2 linked regions of the Drosophila melanogaster genome follow. The protein of the gene in region 2 interacts with the protein of the main gene of each other region in a biochemical or structural test. Each region holds a gene or a part of one and is shown on either strand. Other genes may lie near its edges. The genes, in order: PlexB and Sema2a.

Evidence for each region.
Region 1: the proteins of Sema2a (region 2) and PlexB form a complex in vitro, tested with the Drosophila melanogaster proteins (one study listed by BioGRID).

What each region holds. Positions count from the first base shown.
Region 1 is NC_004353.4:40,580-45,897, forward strand, and holds the start of PlexB (plexin B), read right to left. Parts: upstream 3,200-5,318; 5' UTR 2,846-3,199; coding exon 2,335-2,845; exon of another isoform or gene 2,195-2,334; intron 707-2,194; coding exon 1-706.
Region 2 is NT_033778.4:16,514,287-16,519,280, reverse strand, and holds the start of Sema2a (semaphorin 2a), read right to left. Parts: upstream 3,132-4,994; 5' UTR 3,011-3,131; intron 2,828-3,010; exon of another isoform or gene 2,748-2,827; intron 2,362-2,747; exon of another isoform or gene 2,263-2,361; 5' UTR 2,106-2,262; coding exon 1,940-2,105; intron 1-1,939. UniProt on the Drosophila melanogaster protein: Ligand for transmembrane receptor PlexB. Plays a role in growth cone guidance. Required for both proper adult behavior and survival. Can function as a selective target-derived signal that inhibits the formation of specific synaptic terminal arbors.

The sequences.
Region 1 (5,318 bases), on a different chromosome or scaffold from region 2:
CGATCTTTTGTGGTTCCGTTAAAACACAGATGGATATTTTCAATGAACATGTCTTCAATATCTTTAATGCTATATATACACATAGCAGACTTACTTTCTGGCTGATTACTTATTTCTCTTGAGGGCGAAAAAACCGTTACTAAAACGTGATCGTCTTTTTTTATGCCCATTTTTTGCGCCAATTTGTGGCTGGCTGGAGTTACTTTCGCATCCCTTACAATATTGTAGTCAACATTGTTTTCAGTTGCAGTGCATTGAACAGTTATTTCAGTATAGCTGTCGTAATTAGGATCTGTAATGCAAATGCGTGCCAAGCGTGTTACATAACCGGCCTCATCAGCTAAATGTGATTTTTTTTGAACAATTATGAAGTACGCATATTCAGAAGAATTAAAGCCGTAAATATAATCGACTAGAAAATGATCCCGATATTTTACATCGATATTTATAATTGACTGCTGTATTGAAAATTCAGCATAGTTTAAATCATCAAGTCGGCGGGACGAAATGGCTGGCACGTCATGACGATAATCACCAACATTCGTAAATGTTGTCCCCACATATAAAATATCCTCTTCTTTCCACGCATATCTCGCCGGACCTACAAATGCATATGTAGACGCGTTTTCATCGTTAGCAGCCAATGGAACTGCAAAAAACTGGGGCGTTGCCGGAAAACGTGGCAGGCTGTAAATTTCGCAGGCTCCTGAAAATAAAGATAATTTTATTACTATCGCGGAATTTTTTAAAACCTATTTTAAGGACAAAATATAACACCTAAGTCATAGTATCCATTGGACTTGATATACCCGTAACTTGTAAAGTAAAAATGTATACTACATGTAGAACGGAACGTCACCGAGCCTATAAAATATCAAAAATCCTGATCTTGATCACTAACCGAGTCGATCTACTCATGTCCGTCTGCCTGTCCTTAGCCCACGATTTTCTCGCCGTGGCTCTAGAGGTTGCTCCAGGCTCTCTCGAATTTTTGTTCGAGAGCGAGAGAGCGGAGAGCGCTACAACGAACAGCTCTTTTCTACGCATACAGTGATACCAGACATCTGTGTGTGTGCACACGTGTGCTCATGCATTGTAAATTTGACAATATATGCCCTTCACCTTAGAAGTTCATAGACTTTAAATCTATATTATTTTTGATCAATTGGCACCATGCGAAAAATTCTTGTTTTGCATTGCCTTAACGTTATTATTATTTGAAAATAGATTAGAAAGAGTCAAACCTATGTACATATTATCACAAAAAAAAATTTCAAAAATGACTTTATAATATTATTATATTCATTAGAGTATTCAGCTTTCGACGTGTGAAAAATTAATAAGGCAATGATTGTTGAGTGCTTGTGTCCGCACTTCGTGCCTCAAGATACATATGACTTGCAATAAACAGTTTTCATATTTTTATTTATGTTAAAAATTTTTATTTTCTACTACGTATTATTTTTATGAAATTTTTTTAATTTTAATATGATGTATAAAATGATCCATTTTTATTATTTAAAATGCACATTAGATTCAGTTGTTTAGTTTCAGTTTTTTTTTTGTTATATTCCAATTTGATATTCCTAAAAAAGAGCGCAATTTCATCATATTGCTACGAAATTGGCCAAAACTTACCAAATATGTAAATTCGTTTATTCGATCAGAATTGATTTCAGGAACAGTAAAAATTGTTAACTGATTCGTTGAAAAGTATTTTAAAGACGATTCGCATCGCATGATTGAAGTAATATTATGCCCAAAACTGCCCGCCCATATTTTTGCAAACATTTTAGAATATTTTTTTTAATTTTATTAGTTGCTTAAACTTTTTGCCACGCCTACTCTAACTCCCTAAAGCCGCCAAACCGGTCACGCCCACACTATTGAACATTTTTCAAATTGTTTCTTCTTTTATTCCCCAATATCTATCGATATCCCAGAAAAATGATGAAATTTCGATTTCGAGTTCGCATTCACACTAGCTGAGTATCGGAGATCTTGACTATAGCATATTATCTTGTTTTATTTTAATACTTTAACGTTAATACTACCCAAATTGTTTCAAGAGTTCAACTATAGATTTTTTAATTTATAACATTTTAAAATCCTGTTTTGTTTATCATCATATTCCTTCCGCACTTTTGAATAATTACTTATATTCGCCGCTTTTTTATGTGGAGCTCAAAAACACTGCGACATTGTTCTACGATGACTACAAAAAATGACCAATAACTTCTATAAACCAATACGATATGTCAGGAGTTTCGGTCCCATACGAAGTCGCCGACTTAAGTATTTTATTTTTATTTTGATATGTGTTTGCTATTTTACCTTGTCGAATGCTTCCACACGCTATGAGAATACCATCGTGAGCGTAGCTTACTACTAGAATTTTGTTGAAGTTATTGACAAGCGATGTCTCAATATCTTCCGGACAGCCTCCAGCGTGACATTGCGGGGAATCATGTAACGGCCCAGTAACAGCCTCGGCCAGCACTCGAAGGTTTTCGTTAAGTTTAAGTATTTTATTTGTAGCACCCGCAAACAAAACATTGTGCATAAAGTCGAAGCTCATGTGAGTAAAATAATTTTTAGATTGAGAGTCTCTAACACTTTCTATATTGTTTCCAATTGATCGATTGCCATAGCTGGAAGCTGTTGATTGAACTGGTATTGATGGCAAGTTAAACTGGGCGACTATGTCATTTAAGGGAGATAACGCCTGAGCCGGCAGTTCTTCAATGCAGTTAACGCAATAATGCTGAGAACCGAGTATGATAATAATACACAGTACATGTAAAACATGTATAATGTTTGCACAATACAATTCCTTTCGCAACATATTTATTTGTGGTTTTGTGTATGATCAGTTTGTAGTTGAGTTTGGGCATCAATTCCCCATATGTCATTTTTATTATTATTTAGCTCTACATTCTCTCTCCTTAATATATAAACTTTTTAATATCGATTGAATTTAATGCGAATTAATTTTATATGCCGCTGATTCACTGTAGGTGCATAAATATTTTTAAATTAAAATGATCCATTTGGCTATTTTAGGTTTAGCGCATTTTTTATAAGGTTGTTTAACACAAAAAATCGATTAGTCAATGTAAACAAATATTTATTTAAAAAAAACTTCTTAGGCAACGCTCAAACGTTGTGTGTACACTATCAGTCCTAGAGCAGATTATTAGTATCGGCTGTATCAGCCTATCGCATACAAATTGAACTATCGAGCTAGAGGGCATTGTAATGCTGTATTCACAAGGAGCACATTAAAGGGAAGCTTACCATTAAAAACCTCGGAAGTATTTATGTAGATATCGTTTAAATGTTTTCAGTTCTGATTCCACATCCAATCAATTGGCTAATGTTAAAAGAAAAAAGAAAGAAGACACCACCGATGGAGTCTAAAATGTTCCAGGAACATTTTTGTAAAATAATATCAATGAAATGGTAGTCGCGTTAAAAAGAGCAATCTCCAAAGAATCTAAATTGATCTCATCTTCTTCCATGCAACACTTGCCGTGCGCGCTATTTTTATCTTAATATTGTTTTTGATTCGAGTGTTACAGACCCACCTATCTCTACACAAAGTTTTGAACAACATTGATTTATGTGGCACGATGGCTAAAATTTTATAAAATTATTTTAAAATCATAACATGTTTAATGTTAAATTATTTCATTAAGGGTTTCTCATGGCATGGAGGCTTCAACGCCACGTAGTGTTTGGGACTATTTATGTATATACTTATACTAATTTTACTTATGTACCTTTTTTACTATTAAAATTATATAAATTTAAAAAATTTGATTATTATTATTCAACAATTTTTGGAAAATTTGTCCAACGAATGGCTATTTTGCTAATCAATTGTCTTATTAATAATTTATTGAATTTCTCTACAACTGTAAATTAAGACCAACCGTCATTAAGACCTGTAAATTATTAACACTTAGTTAAATAAGTATCACTAAATAGATTATATCGGTGGGTTTTAAATTTTGACTGAATTGAAGATTCGATTTTTATATATTCTCAGAGAGATTTCTGATCCTGTCATACGTACATATGTATATACAATTTCATTTATTCTCCGAATATATAAGTTAAATTAGGGAACCACTACAGATATTGAAGTTTTATTTGTGGATTTTTTTCAACACTTAGCATTGGATATTGACCCCTATAAAAATGCTTCATCAATCCATTTGTGTAGTCACTTTGCAAGGGTGTACTTCGGTTAACCGACTATATTTCAAAGCGATAGTTAATGAAACTTATGCTGCTATCACATTATTTACTGTGAAAATTCTTTGTGAACTGAAGAGCAATCGGGAACATCGATCTTGACAACGCCGAATTCGTTTTGGTATAACACAGGATCTTTAGTTTATACTTGGTTGGCATCACATCGAAACTTAGCACGGGAAACCATGGTTAATCGACAATATTTGCGCTGTGCAACATGTACAAGTACATAAATAGAACTGTTTACACATAACAACAATGTATCAAAAATCCGTTAACAGCCGACGTGAACACTCGAAACATAACCAGACCTGCCGCAGAAAATGCTGCGATAAGAGATGCTAAAGAGATAAACCATCTCTTACCAAAAAGTTAGATTAGATTGACCAAAGAGGTTAATGTGTACACTTAAACTGTCTATAATCTTTACAACACATATAATGACAAACATGGATATTTTTCAACTCAATAAGAGAATAATTTATTAGGAATTTGGAATATCAAACGGCACAATGATACGCAGCTCTTACTTACTTACTTTTTATTAATTTTAATTTTCTTTTTACAAAAAAAAAAATGTATGCTTGGAGCAAATTATTAGGAATTATATAAGTATAATATTATTATTATAATAGTGTTATTCCCAGCTAAGAACAAATCGCTTGTCATCGGGAAAACGTTTTTGATTTTATAAATTAGTTTCCACCTTTCCAGTTTTGTTGGTTTGCACTCACAACTCACAATGACGCAAATGATTGCTTATTCTGTATTTTTTTATTCTAGTAGGAAAAAATCTACATTGGCAACGCTGCTGCCGTGAAGCTAAGAATGCAGTATTAAAAAGCGAAACAAAATAATATCAATAAAAAGGTTAATGGTAAACTTAGGAACTTCCAGCTCTTAAACCGCGCAAATATTTTCCTTTATGTGATAATTAAGCAAGGTCATGTAGAATCTATTGATAAATTTCTGATTACAAAAAAATATTTAAATATTCGTTGGTTTTAAAAATTGGAAGCAATTGACCCCAACAAATGCTAAGCACGAGCTCTTGTGAC
Region 2 (4,994 bases):
AATAATGAAGTCGCAGCACCTTGTGCGTGTATCTTTGTATCTTTTGTGAGAGAAAACAAAGGGGAAGAGCTATCCGGCAGATAAAAATAGAATTTTAGGGTACAGAGTGGTGGAAACATCTGTCAAACCGCTGAGTCAACCAATTGAAGTGGCCGAGGTGGCGACAGAGGACGTTGCGGCCGCATTGGTACTCACAAATGCCATAGAGAGGCATAAATTTTGTACTACCCTAAAATAAAGTGCAATTAATTTCATTTAAATCAATGAAAATAGTGCTTTTTCATTTACAGACGGGTAAAAGAAGAAGAAGATAAAAAAAAACATGCAATAAATATTCCGCATCAACGGGGGAATTTATAGTTGACATTTTAGAGTTTTGTTGTTATTCAGTTCGGTGGCTTTTGTGGTTTAGTTGGTTTTACCTTAATTTATGGCCCGCCGATCGGTTTATATAGTGCATCTGGTGCAAATGTCCAACCTTCGAACTTTGTAGCTCCTTCTGCATGCATTTCGGACTTATCCCATATAGATTTTGCTATATAACTCCCGGAAAAGTATGCGCAAGCAGCTTGAACGATTCCCTAATCGTCTCACGTTTTCCTTTAGGGCAAGTGCTTAGCTATTGAGTTTACAGCGCAACATGCGGCAAGGACCAAAAAGTTGTTGTCGGCACGTGAAGTTTTATGCTGCACTTATGGCTTATAGTTAAAGATATAGTGGAGACAAGGGGGACGGCATGCCAGGCATTCCGGAACGTGGACTATTAGAAAATGTTTACTGGTCTTGACCCGGATTGCTGTTGTTGTTGTTGTTGTTTGGCCAGCCTGGCTAAATGAGATTTAAATTTTTTATACAACATTTTCTGCGTTCTTGATACTTGATGGCTTTTTGCTGTTCTCTAGCCACATTCAATGTATGCTGGGGAACTTTTCAATCAACCGCACGATGATAAATGAATGCTGGCCAAAATTATTGGCAAAATCCAACATGGCTTAGACATAGAGAAGTGAATAACCTGTTTGTGGCCGCTCGTAGATGAATTTTAAATACTTTTAGGCTTTAATGACTCAATAAAGCTGGCCAAGTCTACGAAACAGAGGGCTTGTAAAAAAATACAGCGGAAAATCTAGGTAGATTGAACATTTAAATGGTAAAGCATTCACATTTTTCTAGAGTGGTAGGGGAGGGGGGGATTAAGGGAACCCAGTCAATTATATATCATTCAGGATTTATCTCTGTGGATTATAGGACTGCATATGGTTAAAATATGATTACATTATTGGTATTTGTTTAAACATGAAATATGCATATGAATAGCAACAATTCACAATTGCGCGGACCAGCAATATTCACTATGAATGCACCGCATTAATATGCAAATTATAAAAAACAACAACAATCACAATGCTCCGAGCCAGAAATGGAAAATGGCCCAAACCGAAACGAAAAAATATAGTTGCAATTGAAATCGAACCAAACGAGATAAATAATAAAGGCACAAAGAACATGTGCGAATATTATGGCAAATAAATTACAAATTTGTTGTTGCCTGAAAGATTGAAAAATAATATTGGCCGCAGTTAAAAAAGGGGAAAAAGCTGTCTTATTCGTGTAAGCCGACGATTTAAGTACCCTGTACAAAATATAAGTAATGCGAAACAATTTTAATTCATTTTTTTCATACATACTTAAGTTATGATCAAGTTGTAAAATAGCGTTTTAAATAATGTTTTCATTCTTAAGTTTTAAGTGTAACGAACATTAACATACATTTCACATAGTTTTTACGAAGAAATGTGAACTAGTAAAAGATTTTGTTAACATTTTTTTTAATTTTTAAAGCCCCTCGAAAAAAGGGCACAAAAAGTGAAAATTTATTTTACAAGTGTGTTTTAATCCGTGTTCCCGCCCCTTTTTATACCGTTAGTTGGCTAGTTACCTGCGCCGTGTTTCCCGTAATTGTTGTTCCCCTGATCGTTTCCAGTGCAACAGGGACGCTCGTAGTAGAAGTTCCAGGTGTTCTCGTAGTCCGCAGCTGTCTCGCTCACACTACTGCAGAGGAGTAGCAGGAGTGCGAGGAGCGGCGATAGCTGTAGAAGCGACATTGCGAGGGCGGTGCGAGCGAGAGGGGTGGTCGACCGGGGGCCGAATGCGACCCCACCAACCTCAATTGGATTAAAGTGCAAGAGCGAGCGAGAGGCGGTTGCTTGTTGATTTTACCGTTTGATGAATAAAAACCGGCACGTTTTTTCCCACGAATAACTGTTAACACATTTAACTTGTATTATTTTTACACACTTTTGCGGCAATTGCAATGGAATTGATTTCACTGGCAAATGGATTTTAAAATAAACTTCTTTCCTTGGGCGATTTATAGCACCCCTCTGCTATTTTTTTCTCCTTATATATATATGTTTTTTTTTTGGACCCGCAGTCGTAGTGCCAATTTCGTTTCGGATTAATTATGTATGCGTTGCAGGCGCATAAAGGCGTAATGCATTTTACACAGTTCTGTGTTCAATTCGGTTTTCAATTCGATTTCAACGCATTTAGCCATCGGAAAGCATGTGCGATATGAAGATAAAGGCAAAAGGAAACGTTAAACTGGTTTATTATATGCCCACGCATCGGAAAAACAAAAAAAAAAGCAACAATATTGGGAAACAATGAAAATTCCTCAACGCTGGAGAGTGGGAAAGAGACAAGGAAGGTGAACGAGCGCGTTTCTTAAAGTTTATACTATTTACAAGGCACTGCATCAATAAATAAATGATGAATCTGCAAATATTTCCTTGCTTTCAGTTTAAAATTTGCCTTTAACCCACACGCACACAAACTTGCTCACGCACTCACACACACACACATACGCAACAACAAAGCCAGAGATACACACTTGAGTTGTTGTTGGGAGTTTCGGTTTATTGGAATTTCGAAAATCGAACTCCGAATTGAATGAACTGCAAAACGCCAATTAGATAGTTGCAAGCCTAATGCATTTCAGATATTTTACCGATGCGAAACAAGTTCCGCCACGAAAGGGAACACTGGTAAAATGCCCAAGAATCTCGAGCGGAAACACCAAACACAAAAGAACAACCGACAACAAGTAGAAGTGAGAAAACAACAACAACGCACGATCGCTCCGATCGCGCAGATGTGAGAAAAACGCTAGCGCGTTTAAGTCGAATGACTATCGCAGTCACGCGTTTGGGTTTTTGGTATATACCAACAATGGTGATCGTGTTTGAAAATAATATTTAAAATATATATAATTTGCATAACTTTTTCTCTTTATATCAGAAGTTTTAGATTTTATTTTGGCTAACTTTGAAATATGCTTTCTTATTTTTGTCTGTTTACAATGCGCTTGCTTTTTAAGTTAGTTAATATATAATATAATATTTTCTTTGACGTATTCAAGCCGATTTTAACTATTTCTTAAATTATTCTTAAGAAAAGGTAAAAACTGTTGACACAAAACTTTGTTTAATATTCGTGGAGCGTCGTGGATTTTCATTTGTCGATATAATCCTTGCTCCTTGCCACAAAATGCCGTTGCAGAATGGCGGTATTCAATTTTCGTACTTCACCGTGCGGAAGCGGCAAAGTGATTTTTAGCAAGGACAACAAGGACAACGACAATTTTGGCAATAGGCAAACATTTGCCAACCCAGACACACACAAAACGGGCGGCAGGATGGATGGATGGATGGCAGGTATGCAGACGAATCCTTGCATTTAGCAGCCTCGAGCGGCAATTAAACGCAGTTTGCTAGTGTCTCTGGCATTTGAGTGTCTGCTTGGCAAAATATTTAATTAAAAAGCAAGTCGGTTATGTTTTCGCATCTCCTTGATATTTTCTATTGTACGGGTGCCACCTGTGCGTGCTTTCGTTTCCATCAGTGGCGTAGGGGCTGTAGTTTATTCAATTATTCAGCTGAGATGTTAATGATGATTGTTTGAGGCACTGATCAGCTCAGGTGGTACGTGACCATCAAAGAAAAAAAAGGTAAGAAACTTATAATATAGTGCAAACGTTTCCAACTAAAATTTAATAATTTTGATCGCAATCATTGGCTAACCCCCACAAGAAATCCTTGCGCACGCCACTGGTTGATTGTGTCTGCCTGGCCTTTTCTCTCTGTTTGCCTGCTAATGAGTTTTCGCAGAATCACCACACTAGTCGTCCCCCTCGCACCCGACCGTGCGACCAAAGGAGCACTTGCATCATGATACTGTTGAAAATTTTTGACACATGTTCACTCACTCTATCCCTCTATTTCATTGCCTCTCCCTCTCTCACACTCACTCTCGTTCTAGCCCGCATTGTTGTTGCCGCTTTGTAGTTGCTTTGATGTTGGTTGCCATTTTTGGGTTTTTTTCCCTTTTTCGGGGGATAGCCTTTCAAGTGCAGCAGCGACAACGTCGCCATTGTCATTTGTTTTCGCAAACGTTTCTTTCACACAATGTCAACTTTCAACAAAGGACTTTAATTAAGTCCTTAATGACAGCTTAATTTAGCGCACTTTGCACAGCGCGTATGCCCCAACACGTACACAAACAAAGGCACAACGCACTCACACGTAGCACATACTCGCACACGTATGTATGTGTGGGAAAAAGATGGGATGTGTTTTGTTTAGTTCTTTCGCTTTCTTCATCTCGGAATCCTTTAGTTGCGGTCAATTAAATAATAATTTCAAATCTAAAAAGTACACGTCATTCCATAAGAAGTCATGCAACAATTTAAGGGACGAAAAGAGAAATTCAAGTAAAATGAAATAGTTGCCAATCAACCACCCTTCATATAAACATAAAAACTAGCATTCGTTTTGCTTATTATTTTGTGATGCAATTTATTACTTAATAAATTGGGAGAGAGCCTAAATAGCATTTTGATTGTGCCAAATAATACATGGAACTTGTCTCGCCAAACATTGTTGGTCGCTCAACTTGTCAGCGGCCGGCAACTTTCATGCATTATATAAAAAGTT